2 linked regions of the Sus scrofa genome follow. The protein of the gene in region 1 purifies or fractionates together with the protein of each later gene. This does not show direct contact. Links are inferred from orthologs where the notes say so. Each region holds a gene or a part of one and is shown in the gene's direction. Other genes may lie near its edges. The genes, in order: MTHFD2 and HRAS.

Evidence for each region.
Region 2: the proteins of MTHFD2 (region 1) and HRAS purify together in Homo sapiens (co-immunoprecipitation; 4 studies listed by BioGRID and IntAct, with this or other methods). This does not show direct contact. The link is inferred for Sus scrofa from reciprocal best matches to the Homo sapiens genes MTHFD2 and HRAS.

What each region holds. Positions count from the first base shown.
Region 1 is NC_010445.4:68,824,499-68,832,494, reverse strand, and holds part of MTHFD2 (bifunctional methylenetetrahydrofolate dehydrogenase/cyclohydrolase, mitochondrial), read left to right. Parts: intron 1-3,811; coding exon 3,812-3,996; intron 3,997-6,217; coding exon 6,218-6,340; intron 6,341-6,881; coding exon 6,882-7,034; intron 7,035-7,464; coding exon 7,465-7,572; intron 7,573-7,996. UniProt on the Homo sapiens protein: Although its dehydrogenase activity is NAD-specific, it can also utilize NADP at a reduced efficiency.
Region 2 is NC_010444.4:297,467-306,027, reverse strand, and holds HRAS (GTPase HRas), read left to right. Parts: upstream 1-3,488; 5' UTR 3,489-3,644; intron 3,645-4,790; 5' UTR 4,791-4,817; coding exon 4,818-4,928; intron 4,929-5,099; coding exon 5,100-5,278; intron 5,279-5,356; coding exon 5,357-5,516; intron 5,517-5,602; coding exon of another isoform or gene 5,603-5,665; exon of another isoform or gene 5,666-5,684; intron 5,685-5,942; coding exon 5,943-6,062; 3' UTR 6,063-6,366; downstream 6,367-8,561. UniProt on the Homo sapiens protein: Involved in the activation of Ras protein signal transduction. Ras proteins bind GDP/GTP and possess intrinsic GTPase activity.

The sequences.
Region 1 (7,996 bases):
ATGGTAGAAACAGTTCTTTCCCTAGTAGAACTTCGTACCTGTCAAGGGGTGCAACACGTGTGTAATTTCCAGCCAGTGTAAAAATGCTGTTAGAGACATTTCCAGGGTACTGTTGGAGCCCAAAATGGGGCGTTCTTGAGAGAAGACTTCAGACTGGCCCCTTCAGAGGGGACAAAGATTTCCTTAGTCTGACCCTGACCTGCCTTTCCAGCTCTGCCTTTCCAGCTCTGCCTTTTTTGTTGCTGTCTTTTATTACCAGCTGTTCTCCTCCCTTCCTGAGTTCTGGCCACGTGTGCTTGTGGCTTCCATGATTGTGAAGAGATCCTCAACCTCATGGTTCCTAGTCAGATTCGTTTCTGCTGCAGGACAGCGGGAACTCCTGAACTGGAGGATTTTTTTATAAATCTCTTCACAATCACGGATGAAAAAAATCCTCCAGTTCAGGAGTTCCCACTGTGGCACAGCAGAAACGAATCCGACTAGGAACCATGAGGTTGAGGGTTTGATCCCTGGCCTCGCTTGGTGGGTTAAGGGTCTGGTGTGTAGGTCTTAGACGTGGCTGGGATCCTGTGTGGCTGTGGCTATTGTGTATGCCGGCAGCTGTAGCTCCCATTTGACCCCTAGCCTGGGAACCTCCATATGCCTCGGGTGGGGCCCTAAAAAGAAAAAGAAAAAAATCCTCCAGTTTATTACTTAGAGAACTGGACCAGTTTGCTCACACTCTCCAGCAACAAATGATGTTGTTTCACTTCCTTTTCAGAATAAACAGGTAGGCTTCCTCAGCTTTGAAGGCAATAAGTACATTTGGATTCAGGGTGCCAATGTATTGCTTTGATTACTGCTGCCTGGTAAATTTAAAACAGCATCTTTTACAAAATATGGGCCTGCATGTTTTCCCTTTTTAGGGACCTTAGTGTGAGAGTTTTTATGGTTAGAGAGATAGTACTGCAGTCTAGGAGACAGTGGGGTATAGGAAAAAAATGGATTTTGGAGGCAGAAATTCATGTTTGAATTTTGTTTTTATTGTCCTCAGGTTCTCCTTTCTGTATAACAGGCTTATTGTAATAGCTCTGAGGTAACCAAGAGTAATGTATGTAAAACTCTTAGCAAAATACCTAGTGTTTAATGGATGTTCGTTCCATCCCTCTTTGTGCCTTTGTTCACTCATTACTGGTTCCATTAATTAGTAACAGAACTATTTCCAAAATAACTTGATCGTGAATTGTAAAATGTACCTGATATTAATTTTTCATGGAAAATTATAGTACTGTAAACTTTTGAATTAGGAAGAAAGTGTGGATATTACTGACGTGGGTTTTCCAGTTTTGACTTTTATTTGGACAGTCCTCTTCTTTCTAGTTGATTGATTCATAATTTTAACAGAAAAATTTCTAAGCATGTCTGTGAGGGAGTTCCCCTTGTGGCTCAGCAGAAATGAACCCGGCTAGTATCCATGGGATGCACGAGTACGCAGGTTTGATCCCTGGCCTCACTCACTGTGTTAAAGGATCAGAGTTGCCTACAGCTGCTGTGTAGGTCACAGATGCGGCTCAGATCCAGCATGGCTGCAGCTGTGATATAGGCCGTTAACTGTAGCTCTGGTTCGACCCCTAGCCTGGGAACTTCCGTACGCCTGCTGAAAGTATGGCCCTAAAAAGCAAACAAAAAACAAATCCCAAAAAACCCACATCTGTGAAAGCACTCCTAAATAAGTGTTAGCTAATATGATTAATAAATTTCGGATTCCTTGTAGGACTGATCTCAGTCTCCATTTCCATTTATTTTGGGGTAGCAGTAACTTTATCTGCTCTTTGGCAAAAAAAAGAAAAAGAAAAAGAATAAAAAGAATGTTGGGAAATTTACTGACGAGTCCCTCCTCCCTCCTCCCTCAGGACTGTGTTTTGCATTATGCAGAGTTGTAGTTTGGAGAGGATGGCTGAAACAGTTACACTATGAAAGATACTCATTGCATTGTGGCTTTGTTTTGGTTCTTGTTATTCTTTGACTTTTTTCTTTTTAAGCAAATTGGCATAACATCCAGAACTTGCCTTTAGAACTTGGAACACTGGATTCACCCAGCGTTCTTAACTTTTATATCATGCTTAGTCCAAATGTACTGTTGCCATTTTCTCTAAGTTTACTGCTTTCAGAAGGAACTTTTTAAGGAAGTGCAGTCTCAGTTCTTCTCACCGAGTGTTTTTATATAGATATCCTTATGAGTGTGTAAATAAATGTCTCTTGTATAGTAAGTGTGTGTGTGTTTGTAAATGTAATCAAAGAAGCAAGCCAGAAGTTAATTTTTAGTGAATATATGTGTGCCTGGCACTTTATGTTATTTCATTCAATATAAATGACTGCCCAAAATCCTTTTATTCTTTCACTCTATTCTGTTCCAATGTTGGGACTCTATTTCTGGCCCGAGACAGGTACTCCTGGTATCACTATAGATCAAGAACACACCAGGAGAGTTCCTGTTGTGACTCGGCAGGTTAAAGAATCCAGCTAATATCCATGAAGATGTGGGTTTAATCCCTGGCCTCACTCCATGGGTTAAGGATCTGGCATTGCCGCAAGCTGCAGCGTAGGTCACAGATGCAGCTCGGGTCCCCGAGTTGTCGGGGTTGTGACGTAGGCTGGCAGCTGCAGCTCCAATTCGACTCCCAGCCCAGGAACTTCCATATGTCTCAGATTGGGCCCTAAAAAGAAAAACAAACAAACAAAAAACAAACCCAAAATAATATTGTGTCAACCATACATCTGAAATGGATTTGTAAATATTAACATGTTTTCAATTCCTTAATATTCCACGAATATGTATGAAATGCTCTTAGATATTTTGTGCTGTGCTAGTATTATCACAGAGAATCTGGGGAAAAGCATTTGGTTTGGTATAAAACTGCAGTATCTTCTTAATATGTCAAAAGATGCAAATACAAATTAATATAAATTTGCTGCATTATGTCTAAAACATTGAGATTTGGTTTAAAGTAGATTTTTAATCACAATGCAAATGAAAAGCAGTCTTTGAAGGCTTAATGACAATTAAAGCTTTAAAATTCCATTTTAATTAACAGTGGCCTTAAGAATTAATTATATCTGATCATGTAAGATATCCTTGATATTATCCCTGAGGATTAAATATGTGCTCTAAGGGGAAATATATTGTTTCTACGTTTGAAACAGCTGTATTCATCATTGGTCTTGGAGTTGGAACATTCCTTATGAATGTTGTTTTCAGTGGGGCCTTTTTAGGGCCAAACCTGAGGCATGTGGAAGTTCCCAGGCTAGGGGTCCAATCAGAGCTGCGGCTTCCAGCCTACGTCACAGCCATAGCAACTGTGGATACTTAACCCACTGAGCAAGCCCAGGGATTGAACCTGCATCCTCATGGATGCTAGTCAGATTCATTTCAGTTGAGCTACAACTGGAACTGTGTTGGAAATGTGTTTAATAACACATTTTTGGGGGGTTCCTGTCGTGGCTCAGTAGTTAACGAATCCGACCAGGAACCATGAAATGGTGGGTTCAATCCCTGGCCTTGCTCAGTGGGTTAAGGATCCGGCATTGCTGTGAGCTGTGGTGTAGGTTGCAGACATGGCTTGGATTTGCCTTACTGTGGCTGTGACGTTGGCCAATGGATATAGCTCCAATTCGACCCCTAGTCTGGGAACCTCCATATGCTGTGGGTGTGGCCCTAGAAAAGACAAAACAAAAACAAAAAAACAAACAAAAAACAAACAAAAAAACCAGCAACAACATTTTTGTAGTCTGATCTTTCCCAAAATTCTTGTGTCTCTGTTGCATTCTGCAGAAGTGAAGCTGTTGTCATTTCTGGAAAGAAGCTTGCTGAGCAGATCAAGCAGGAAGTGCGGCAGGAGGTGGAGGAGTGGGTGGCATCAGGCAACAAGCGACCACACCTGAGTGTGGTCCTGGTTGGTGAGAACCCTGCAAGTCACTCTTATGTCCTCAACAAAACCAGAACAGCTGCCGATGTGGGTATGTGTCACTCTCAGACCCCGCCAGCTTTTAAATCGAGATTTATCCAAGGCAAACCCTATTGTAGTTCATTATTCCTTTTTCTATTTTTTTATTATTTAAATTTAAAAAAATTTTATTGGCATATACTTGCTTTACAATGTGTTAGTTTCAGGTACACAGCAAAGTGAAAAATGTCTCTCTATTCTTTTTCAGGTTATTTTCCCATACAGATTATTACAGAATTTTTATTTTAAAAATTTTTGTATTTTTCATTTTTTTTAGGGCCACACTTGCAGCATATGGAGGTTCCCAGGCTAGGGGTCAAATTGGAGCCACAGCTGCTGGCCTATGCCAGAGCCATAGCACCACAGGATCCAAGTTGCATATGTAATCTATGCCACAGCTTGTGGCAACACTGGATCCTTAACTCACTGAGCAAGGCCAGGGATTGAACCTGCATCCTCATGGATACCGTCTCAGGTTCTTACCCACTGAGCCGCAATGGGAACTCCCAGATTATTGAGTAGAGTTCCCTGTGCAATACAATAGGTCCTTGTTAGTTATCTATTTTATATTATTCTTTTTCTGATTTGAAAACCCAAGCAGAAGAAGTTAATGTGATTGAGCTGTGTCTAATATTTGTCATAAAGATTCAGGCTGTATTTGGGGGAGGCTTAGAGACTAGGACAGAAGGAATATGGTTGGTATTTTTGGTGTCTTCTGGGATGTAAGCTAAATTCTGCCCTAGTCTTAACCTTCGATAGGTGACCTTGAATACAAGTGTACATCTGCTTTCCTTGAGCAGTAATGAATCCCTGAAAGAGGTGTTTGAGCACTTGGTGGAGGAGACCTTGGTGATGTGGCCTAGAACACAGTCATGGATTTGAAGGAAATGACTCTGACTTCTTTGAAATAGCCTTCAATTTCCCCACCAGTTCATTCCAAAGCAATTCAGTCATGCATTTCGAAGTAGTTGGAGGTTTGGATGCAGAGGGTGCAGGTCTGAGTGACAGGAGGTCTGTGTTCTTGGCTTTACTATATTGCAGACTGGATGACCGTAGACCAGAGGAGGGTAGGCTCAACTGATGCCTGCCACTTATATGTGAGTCACTGGTCTTAGCACTGTGCCCTGCTCTTCTAAGGGGTGTGAAACCACTGGCATATCTGGGTAGTATTAGTGGACTGTGAGCCCTTGGTGTATTCTGTTCTTTATCATTGAGGGTTGAGGCCTCCTGCCCTTTTCACTGAAAAACCTTTAGAACCTCTAGAAAATAGTAAACCATTAAGACACTGGATGGGAGGTAGCATGGCACAGTGGGAACAACATGGATTTTGGAACTGGAAAGATTGGCTTTGTCACTAGCCAGCTTGTGGTTCAGTTTTGCTGAGCCTTGTCTAGAAAAGGAGGTTGATGAGGATCATCTAGAATAATGTATAAAAAGTATCAAACTAGGATTCTTTAATGTCTGTATTAGAGAAGTTAGTTAAGATTCTTTGTGAGCCTGCTCAAGCTTTTTAGCTACCAGGGTGGGTATGATGACAAAAAAAAACCTAGCCGGTAGTGTGGCAGGCAGCATAGCATTGCCTCAATAAATGTCTCTTTTTTTTTTTTTTTTTTTTTCCTTTTTTTCTTTTTAGGGCTGCACCTGGGGCATATGGAAGTTTCCATACTAGGGGTCAAATTGGAGCTGCAGCTGCTGGCCTACACCATAGCTATAGCAACTCAGGATCCAGGCTGTATCTGTGACCTACACCACAGCTTGTAGCAATGCTGGATACTTAACCCACTGAGCAAGGCCAGTGATAGAACCTGTATCCTAGTTGGGTTCTTAACCCACTGAGCCACAATGGGAATTCCTGCCTCTGGGCTTTTTTTTTTTTTTAATTTTTTAAATGATTTTTATTTTTTCTATCAAAGCTGGTTTACATGGCTTTCTTTTTTTTTTGTCTTTTTGGCTTTTCTAGGGCCGCTTCTGCAGCATATGGAGGTTCCCAGGCTAGGCGTCTGTCTCATCAGAGCTGTAGCCGCCGGCCTACACCATAGCCACAGCAACGCAGGATCCAAGCTTCATCTGCAACCTACACCACAGCTCGCGGCAACGCCGGATCCTTAACCCACTGAGCAAGGCCAGGGATCAAACCCGCAACCTCATGGTTCCTAGTCGGATTCGTTAACCATTGAGCCACAATGGGAACTCCTACATGGGTTTCTTTTTTAAACTTTGAAATTTTCTTGTAGGAATCAGCAGTGAGACAATTATGAAACCAGCTTCAATTTCAGAGGAAGAACTGTTGAGTTTAATCAGTAAACTAAACAATGATGATAATGTAGACGGCCTCCTTGTTCAGCTGCCTCTTCCAGGTGAGTTTTGGACACCACCATTTAAAATGATCTCTGAGGAGTGCAGAGGCCTGTTTCCTTTATACAACTGGCCCCTCGGGTGGATTTGACTCAAAGGGGAGTTAAACTCAAGAGTAGATATGTCATCAGATATGGGGCAGATTTTTTTTTTTAATTTTTAATTCATTAATTTATTGTTTTGGCTGCACCCACAGTATGTGGAAGTTCCTGGACCAGGGATCAAACTTGTGCCACGGCATCGACCCAAGCTGCTACAGGGACAACGCCAGATGCTTAACCCGCTGCACCGCAAGGGAACTCTGGTATTGAGATCTTGATGCAAAGGACAGGGAAGGGAAGCTGTGGTACAAGAGGACCCTGGCTTTGATCTCAGCATTTGACTTTGCTAGGTGTGTGTTCCTTGTGCACAGATGAAGAGAGACGTCACGGGGGCACGTTGGAGAAGGAGAATGGGTTTTTGCAGCAAACCAGATAAGCCGGAGTCAAGCAGTGCTAACTGTGTGGCAGTGACTTAAAACCACCACTTGGATTTCTTTTTCAGAGCACATTGATGAGAGAAGGATCTGCAATGCTGTTTCTCCAGACAAGGATGTCGATGGCTTTCATGTAATTAACGTCGGGCGAATGTGCTTGGACCAGAATTCCATGTTACCGGCTACTCCATGGGGTGTGTGGGAAATAATTAAGCGAACTGGTAGGTATATCCCATAACTGGATGTCTGTCTCAGTACCACAAAAGCACTACTTACAAATGGTAAAAACCCACAGAGTAGCAAAGAGTGGAAACTCCCACCCTATGTCTTCTCATCCTTCTCCCTAGAGCCTAGCTCTCTCTTAGCAATGCCTACAACTGTTTCTCCTGTTTAATCCAGAAACCTCTGAGGGAACCTTAAGCTTAATAGCACATTCATGTAGCATTTTCTAGCTTGACAGAACATGTCCTTTGAGCCTCCATCATGTGTAGCAAGTGATAGTCCGGGTGACTGCTAAGGCAATAAGCGTAGTGACTTCCTTCATTATCACAATTAGAGTCACATCCTAGGCCATCAGCCTTCCTTTTCCTCAGGTGCTCTTTCTAAGATAATCTGGCACAATCCTAAATGCAAATTGTATATTTTTTGCAGGCATTCCAACCCTAGGGAAGAATGTGGTTGTGGCTGGAAGATCAAAAAACGTTGGCATGCCCATTGCAATGTTATTGCACACAGATGGGGCGCATGAGCGACCCGGAGGTAAGGAAATTGCTGTCACATGAGTGTCCCCTTCTCTCTTATGGGAGAACCTCCAGAGGCTGCCCTGTGGCTATTTGGAAGTGTTAACTTCGTTAAGCTTCATGTTTGTTGTAATTTTGTTAACAGATAATTGGGGAGTAATCTTTGTAGGAGAAGCTGGGCTCGGTATCACCTGGAGTTTATTTATATTCATTTAGGATGGACTAGTTCAGAAATAGATCTGCCTGAGAAATAAATTTGTGTTTTGAAGTATCAGCATGGTTGTAGGCAATTAGAAAGTTCAGTTACGGCTTTGAGAGTTGGAGCTAAGAACAAGTTCTTATTCCAAGTTTGTATCCTGGTCTGTGCCATTTGGTAGAAAAAAATCTTAGACCATTTTAAAGCATTTTTAAAATTTTTATTTTATTTTATTTTTTGGCTTTTT
Region 2 (8,561 bases), on another chromosome or scaffold:
GACCCCACCCCTGGGCTCCCTGTTGCCCTTTGCCCTTCCTGGATTTACATCCTTCTTTTTTTTTTTTGGGGGGGGGGTCTTTTTGCCTTTTTCGGGCTGCTCCCACGGCATAGGGAGGTTCCCAGGCTAGGGGTCTCATTGGAGCTGTAGCCACCGGCCTAGACCACAGCCACAGCAACTCGGGATCCAAGCCCTGTCTGCAACCTACACCACAGCTCACGGCAACGCCGGATCCTTAACCCACTGAGCAAGGCCAGGGATCGAACCCAAAACCTCATGGTACCTAGTCGGATTTGTTAACCACTGAGCCACAACAGGATCTCCTGGATTTACATCCTGATGAGACGGACCCTCCTAGTTGAGGGCTTTGCCCCAAGACAGCATGGGCTCTGTGTGGGGAGGACGCTCGCCTGCTAGGGCCAGTGTCCAGAACAGGGGCTCTAAACACTCCCCTAAAAATCAGCGAATTTGGCAGATGCAGCTTTTGGCCTCTGCTCTCATCTGTATCAGGCTCCTGGGGGTACACTCAAGCTTCTTCCTCTCCACCACATCCAGAGCCACCCGCACCCCGGCTGGGCTTTGATGAGGAGGCGGGAGTGAGGACTGGGCCTTGTGCTCCATGTCCCTTGTTTGGAAAGTGACCCTGCACCAAGGATCCAAGAAGGTTAAGGGCTTGCAGGGCCTCATGGAGTTTCTGGCCAGGATTTCTTTCCAAATGCTCCTCTGCTGTCGGCTCTCCTTCAGCTGGTGACAGGCCCCCAAACCTGGAAGGAGGGCCCCACCACGGGCCCCTGGGAAGAGGCTGCCCAGCTCCCCCGCCCCCCAGCTGCCAGCCCTGGGCTAAGGGGAAGGTGTGGGGGGTGACCGGGCTGTGGCCTCGGATGCCAGGGCACTACCCTCTTTCTCTGCGCCCAACAGCAGCTGCCCTGAGGTCCTGTTCACAGATCCAGAGAATGGGTCCTATCTAGCCCAGGGGCTTGGGCTCCTGGGAGCAGCGCCTGGGTGAGAGGCTGCGGCTTCCATCTAGACACTGTCCCCTCACACCCATCACTGGCTGGACCTGTCTGCCCTGGTCACAGCCCTGAGCCCATCCTGCCCTGCCGCTCCACGAGCTCCTGGAGCTGGACACCAGGGCGCCCTTCTCCCTCCACCACCTGGGCTAATGCCAACTCCTGGCCTGGCCTGTGGGCTCTTTGTGTCCCTCCACCCGCCATCCCTCTGAGGACAGGGCTGGCTCCCCTCCTAGTTCTCCACTCTGGAAACCCGCGGGCTCTGGGTCCCCGCGCAGGGCTTGGGGTCTCTCCTGTCCCGGTGACTGTGCACCCCTCAGAGCACTGGTCAGGGGATGTGGGCTGGGTCCCCAGGGGGCCAGACTTGACATCTGGGGTATTCCTGGGACCCCGCTGGATTTGCTGCTTCATCCTCGGCCGCAGTTTCTCCCTGGCACGGGGGAGATAGCTGGGCCTGCGGCCCGGGACCCAAAGGCGCCCTGGGCTCTCACCTGATGGGTCGGCCCGGTGCCCCCACCCCGGGGGCCTGGCCCTGGGCACCCTCCTCCGCCGGGCGCTCGCCTTGACTCGGGGTTGTTCTTCCGGCCTCGGGGTTGAGGGGCCCGGGCGCCAAGGCAACGGGGGCGGGGCCTCTGCTGAAAGTGCACATATTCATGAGTCTCGGGAACCTTCCAGGCTCCGCGCGGTCGAGCCACGCCCCCTTAGCAACGGTTGCTAGGGCCGGCGGCCAGGCCTGGCGGCCGCCCACCCGCTCGGGGGTTCGCGCTGTTCCGCCCGCAAGCGTGTGAACGCCCCTCGAGCCGGGAGGGAGGGTGGCGAGGTGAGACGCCACGGAGCTGGCGGGCGCAGACAGGCCCGGTGTCGACCCCCGCAAGGTGATCTGGGGTGAAGACTCGCGCCCACCTTTCTCTAGCGAGAGGCGCCCCTGTAGGGTCGTCCCTGACTGAGGCCCAGGCCCTGCGGGATTTACCTCCACCTGCCAGTGCGGCCGACGCCACGACAAAAGGGCGCGCTGTGGGACAGGACCCTCTGAAGACGAGGGAAATGCAGACCTGGACACCTAGAGGGGAGTCCAGAGTGTCCGCGCCGGCGAGGGACGCCGCCGCCCGTTTTCATTTGTCCGCCTTTACTTCGCGTCTACGTGCGTCAGGCACCAGCCGAGCTCTGTCGCCGGCGCGGCGCAGCGCGCTAGACTGCCGGGGTGGGGGGGACACAGCCGGGGTGGGGTGGGCGCGGTCGTGGGGCCAGGGGCGGACCCCCGGGGGCCTGCCATGGTCGAGGCCTCAGCGGGGTGAGCTCCTGGGGAGCAGCGCGGAGCCGGCGCGGGAGGAGTAGGGATGGAAGGGGGTGCCGGCTGAGCCGAGGGAGGTTTGGCCATACGTGTAATGCACCGTTTTTTCTGGTAAACAAGCAGGATGCGTTTATTCGTTACTTTGAAAATTTCTAAAATGCTGAAAACATGTGTTTCTGAGAGCCTCTAAAGGAGGGCCGGTGGGCATGTTTGCGCCTCGGATGAAGGAGACTTCACCTCACCCCCTTCTGGGTTGGATTTGCTGGGTACCTTTTGCTAACTGGGCCTCAGGGTGAGCTTCTGCAGCGCTGGGACCTCCGGGTTTGGGGGAAGCTGCTTGGACAGGGAGTCTGCAAGGTCTGCCCAAATTGGGGGAAGCTGGTGATGAGGGATGGGGAAGAGGGGCCCTTCTCCGAGCGCCAGTCGCTACGTGAGTAGCCCCCCCCAACCCCCGGTAAAAACACTTGGCCAGATTCAATGCTCCGTGGGCTCAGACGCCCCCGTCAGGCCCTAGACGTAAGATTTGAGCTGAGACCAACGACCCCGCCGAAGCTGCCAGGCGTCCCGGGAGCGGTAGGAGCGCCTCCAGGAGCCACCTGCCCCTGCCCCTCCTCCCCGCAGCCGCTCCGATTTTCTACGGCCCCGGCTCCCCGCGTGTCTTCGGTGCTGACCTCGCGGGCTCCATCTTCCCTGAGGCTCGGCCCCCGGGCTGTCCCCTCCGCTCCCCGACCCCCTGCGGTGGGCTGCGCAGCGCAGGGAGAGCCTGGGGCGCGTGGGCGCACCCGTGAGCAACTTCGAGGGCCGAGGGGCCCGGTGCGGGGCTCGAGTTGGGCCCTGAGGACCCTGCCCCAGTCCGCAACGGGCCTCGACCCGCTTCTCCGCGGGATCTCTGTCTCCCTGAGGGCCCTGCTTATTCCTGGGAGAGTCCAGGCCGTCCACGGAGCAGCTTCCTCCCCCGGACCCCACAGCCGGCCCACCAAGACCCACAGGCCGCGGCCCACGCGGGCCACCAGGGCCGACACCGCCCTCCGCGCCGCTCCCGGAAGCCCCGCCCGGCCCGAGGCATCTGACAGGCGGGCCTCCCGGCCAATCGGGGCGGGGCGAAGAGGCTCTAGGGCGGGGCCCGGCAGGCGCAGCCAATGGCGGGCCGCGCCTGGTTGACGGACGGGGGCGAGGCGGGGCGTGCGCGGGCCCGGTCGAGAGTCCGCAGCCAGCTGCCGGAGCCGCACCCGCCGCGGACGGAGCCCATGCACTGGGCGAGCCGCGCGCCCTGGCCCCGGCCCCCGCCGCCGCCCCCGCCCCGGCCCCGGCCCCGGCCCCGGGGGCAGTCGCGCCAGTGAGCGGTGAGTGCGGCGGGGACCACGGGGGGCGGCGGGGGCCGGGCCGGACGGGGGCCCGCGGTTCTCGCTGGGCGCGCGGGCGCGCGGGGGCGCAGGTGAGCCGCGGGCGGCGGCGGGCGGGGCGCTGCGGCTGGGGCTGCAGGCGGCGGCTGGTACGCCCTGCCTCGCCCAGGCCAGCCCCTCCGACTCCAGGTCCCGGGCCCTGTCTTCTGGGGCCCCGCAAGCGCTCTCAGTCTGTTCTCTGACTGCTCCCCGAGCCGAGGCCCGCCCATGACCATGGCCCTGGGCAAAGTCTCTCCCCCTGCAGCGTTCCAAGGATCCCTGCGAAGAACTCGGGCACCCGGCGGCCATCACACACACCAGGCAAACCTAGAGTTTAGGAAGTCACTGCCCTCTGTCCCCGCAGGGTACCTACCCTGTCTAAACATCTCCAGCTGGGGCTGGGGGGCCTTGGCCCCAGGCCCTTTTTTTCCCTTCTCGCTTGTTCCCTTGTGCCACACAAGGTCTTTTCCTGTTGATCAGCTCCTGCTTCCTGGAGCCCTGGCCCCTGCCGGCCTCTTCACCTGCCTTGGTTTATGTTCCCCAAAGTTCTTATGCCGAGAGGGCGCCGCAGGTTTCCCTTTATTTTCACTTATGTGAGTCTGGCTTGGAGCGTGGCCTGAGCTTGTCGGTAGGGGTTCCTCCCGACTGCCTGTCACCCTGTGCCTGGAACAGCACCTGGCATGCAGTAGGCACTCAGTGAATACTTGTCAAATGCACCAGCATGCCCGGAGGGGCCTGGAGCTGGTTGTTGGCTGCCACAGGCCTGTCTGGGCATGCTGCCTGGCCCGCCACTGTGGCAAGACCTGTTCTCATGGGGGGCGCTTGTAACCTCAGCCCGCGGTGCCTCCAGTTCAGGCTTTTTGCCTATCCAGCACCTTCTAATTCGGGTGCGTGCCTGGGAGATGCTCCCTCCTGTCAGCCCTGCCTCTGGGGCCGGCTCCCTGCTTCTCTCCCGCAGTCATTAAGTGCAGCTGGAGGTGCCACAGGTGCGCCGCGGGGCCGCGGTTGTGGCTGCGACCCCTGTTACCTGGATGTACGGGCCCTGGGAGCTCAGCGGGCCTGTCTTGCATGGTCTGGCCACGCTGAATGCTGCTTCCTCCACTGCAGTCCTGTGCTGTGGCCTCCTGAGGAGCGATGACGGAGTATAAGCTGGTGGTGGTGGGCGCTGGAGGTGTGGGGAAGAGTGCCCTGACCATCCAGCTTATCCAGAACCACTTTGTGGATGAGTACGACCCCACCATAGAGGTGAGCCTCCAGCCCGCATCCCGATGTGGGCTTGTCTTCTGCCCGCTCTGCAGGACGGGTTCCCCTCGTCACAGGTCCTGGGCGGGCACGAGAGGAGCGCGGGAGGGGCTGGTGGTGTGAACAGCCCATCCCGGGCGGGCCAGAGGTCCCTAAGTGGTGTCCCCCCCTCAGGACTCCTACCGGAAGCAAGTGGTCATTGACGGGGAGACGTGCCTGCTGGACATCCTGGACACCGCGGGCCAGGAGGAGTACAGTGCCATGCGGGACCAGTACATGCGCACCGGGGAGGGCTTCCTCTGCGTGTTCGCCATCAACAACACCAAATCTTTCGAGGATATCCACCAGTACAGGTGAGCTGCCCGCGGGCCTCGCTTGGGGGCCCAGAGCACGCCGGCACCCTGCCCGCTGGCTCACACCTCCCCTTGCAGGGAGCAGATCAAGCGGGTGAAGGACTCGGACGACGTGCCCATGGTGCTGGTGGGGAACAAGTGTGACCTGGCCGCGCGCACCGTGGAGTCTCGGCAGGCCCAGGACCTCGCTCGCAGCTATGGCATCCCTTACATCGAGACCTCAGCCAAGACCCGACAGGTGAGCCGGAGCCCCGCCCCCAGCCGGCCAGGGCCCCGCCCCGCCCCGCCCGCAGCAGCGCTCACCGCCCCTCTCCCTCGACACAGGGCAGCCGCTCTGGCTCTGGCTCCGGCTCCGGGACCCTCTGGGACCCTCCGGGACCCCCGTGACCCAGCAGCCCCTCCTGCTGTAAGTGTCCCCGGATGGAAGGGGGGAGGTGGAGGTCCCCGGAGAGAGCTGCCCTGAGCCAGGCCGGAGCGGTGACCCTGGGGGCCCCCCCCGGGGGGGGCAGTCCCCTGTCGGCCCTGACCCCTTCGTGGGCTGTGGGGGAGCTGCTGAGGAAGAGGCCTCCTGACCGGTGGCCCTGGGGCCCCTGCTCCCCGAGTGTGGGCCAGGGGCGGGGCGGCGCCGCGGCGGGGCGGCCCTGAGCCCGCGCTCTCGTCCCAGGGGGTGGAGGACGCCTTCTACACGCTGGTGCGCGAGATCCGGCAGCACAAGGTGCGCAAGCTGAGCCCGCCCGACGAGGGCGGCCCCGGCTGCCTGAGCTGCAAGTGCCTGCTCTCCTGACACCGCCGCTGCCCCGTCTGCGGACCTTCTGCGGGGCCTCCATGCAGCTGGGCGCTGGGGCGCAGAGGTGGCGGATGCGGGGAGGAGGCGCACGCGGAGGAAGGAGGAAGGAGGAAGGAAGGAAGTGCCGCCGGCGCCCGGCCAGCCCCGGTCGGCGGCCACAGTGGCCGCAGGCCTCCCAGGACGCTTTGCACGGACTGTCGTGGACTGACGCCACTGGCACCCCAGCTGTCACTCTCCTCCAGCCCCCTCCCCGGCCCGCTGGGCACAGGCTGAATCGCAGTAAATTATTTGATGGTCTTGACCCTGGTATTTGGCTGAGGCTGGGAGGCTGTGGTGTGTGTGGCCTCCCGGGAGGCTGGCGGGAGCCTCAGCTTCAGCCAGCCAGCGGCTTCCTGCCTCGGGGTACCCAGTGCGTCCTGCAGGGACCTCTGGGCGCAAGACAGGGCAGCCTAGCGCTTAACACGTGGAAATGTTATTGCTTTGCCCCGCAGGGCAGGAAGTTGAGACAGAGGCTGTTCCCTCCCTGGGAGGGGGGCCTTCTTTGGGAGTGGTCCCAGGACGGGGCGGGGTCCTTCCGACTCCGGGTAGGATCCTGTGTCCTGAGTTTTAGGTACCTCGAAAGGCAGTCACTGACTTGGGCAGACCTTGCCTTCTTGCCATCAGGTTTGCCGAGGGAGAAGCGCACAGGGCCAAGTGGATAACGCAAGAAAGATTTATTAAGACATCAGGCGGGGCTGCGCTGGGCTCAGGATGGCGCCAGCCCTGACTGAGAGGAGATGCCGCGAGGTGATGCCGGGCTTTTGAAGGGTCTGTGGCGGGACAGCAAAGGAGGAGGAGGGGACGGTCGGGGAGGGGGAAGAGGGCAGTTCATCCTTGGTGGTGGCCAATCTGTGCAGGCAGGGGTCTTCCGCAGGCTGTTGTTTCTTGCTGCCCAACTTGAGCTTCCGCGCTCCGGGAGAGGGTGTCTACAGCAGGGCTCCAAGGTCAACAGCCACATCTTGGGGCCAGGCGTCTATCTCCATCCTTCTAGGAACCTATCACTTAGGTGTAGGACGGGGGGCCGGCCCGCCTTCCCCAGCCACGCCCTCAGTAAGAGTGGCCTGGTGTTCTGGTCACTGAAGTGGCCCTGTGGGGCATGTCCATGTCCCAGGTGGCCACAGAGAGCTCTGAGAGGGCTCGTCTTGTCTCCAGTGGGAATTCTGGACCGCTTAGGGCCACAGCAGTCTTCATCCTGGCAGGGGGCAGCTCGCCGTGCCCCTGCCCTCCCAGGGCCTGGCCCGCAGCTGCTGTGAGGCGGACGTTGTCCCACAGGCAGGCCAGCGTGAAGAGGCAGGTGTGTTGCTGGCCTCCCAGGGCCTTGGGGCCACTGTGCTCCCAATAACCCCCTCCTCTGGGAGCCCCTGAGCGTACAGTTTCTCTGTGGATGCAGAGGTGGCGGGGTGGGCACCTGCAGGGCCTTGGGGCGGCGCTCGGGGCATTGTCCTAGCTCTGTCTTGGCCCTGCTGGTCATTGCCCTGGGGGGGGCAGGAAGGGTGTCCTGAGCTCTGTGGCTCTGTGTTTGGTGGGCTGGGCAGGACCTGTGGCTGGTCCTCGGTGGGGCTGCAGGCCCAGGCCTGTGGTGTGGCCCTGAGGGTGGCCTTGGTCCATGCTCAAGGGCAAAGGTCTCAGCACTCAGGCTCAAAGCCGATGTCTTGGGGCCACTGGAGCGGGCACTTGTAGTTCCCTGGGGGTGCATCGCCATGGCCACAGCCAATCCTGAGGACTGCTCTTGGCTGGGGACAGGCAGGCCAGATGCAGAGGCTCTGGGGTCCCCCGAGGGAGGCCTGAGGCCTTGGTACTCTCTTGCTGCTGCTCCTCAGCCAGTGGGCAGGCCTGGCCTGCTGGTGCTGGGCAGGTGGGCCAGAGAGCCCATCCTTCCCAAAGAGCATCTCTGCTGAGAGAGGTGGGGCGAGGCGGGAGCTCTGGACGGTCGCTCCAGGCCCGGGGCCCACTGGAAGTGAGCACGCTGGGGTCGGCGTCTCCCCCAGGCTGTGTGGTCTGTGCAGGGTGGGGCCCCACCCTGAGAACATCCCTTGGGCCGAGGAAGGTCAGGTTCAGCGTCTGCAGTGGCTGCCCCGGGGCCCAGCCAGTGGCTGAGTCTTAGAGAAGATGAGCAGGTGGCTGGGGTGAGCAGGAAGGCCCTGGGGTGCTCCACGGTTCACTGTCCTGCAGGGCAGGGGGAGACCCCTGCTGAGCCCCTGGGGGCGGGGGCGCCGGTTGGAATTTCTCCTGTGCAGCTTGCAGCTCGGCCATCGAGGGCTGCCGCTGCTCGAGCAGCACCGCATTGTCCTCCAGGCCCCGGCCTGGGATGGGGTGTCCTGCAGAAACTCAGGAGGCCTTCCAGGGGCAGCTTCAGGAGGCGCGTGGCTGGGATGCCATAGGGCCAGCAGGGGGCCCCGCTGGGAAGGCTCAGCCCCCTTCCTGGGGGCAGCGGCCGTGCTCTGCCGGACCCAGGAG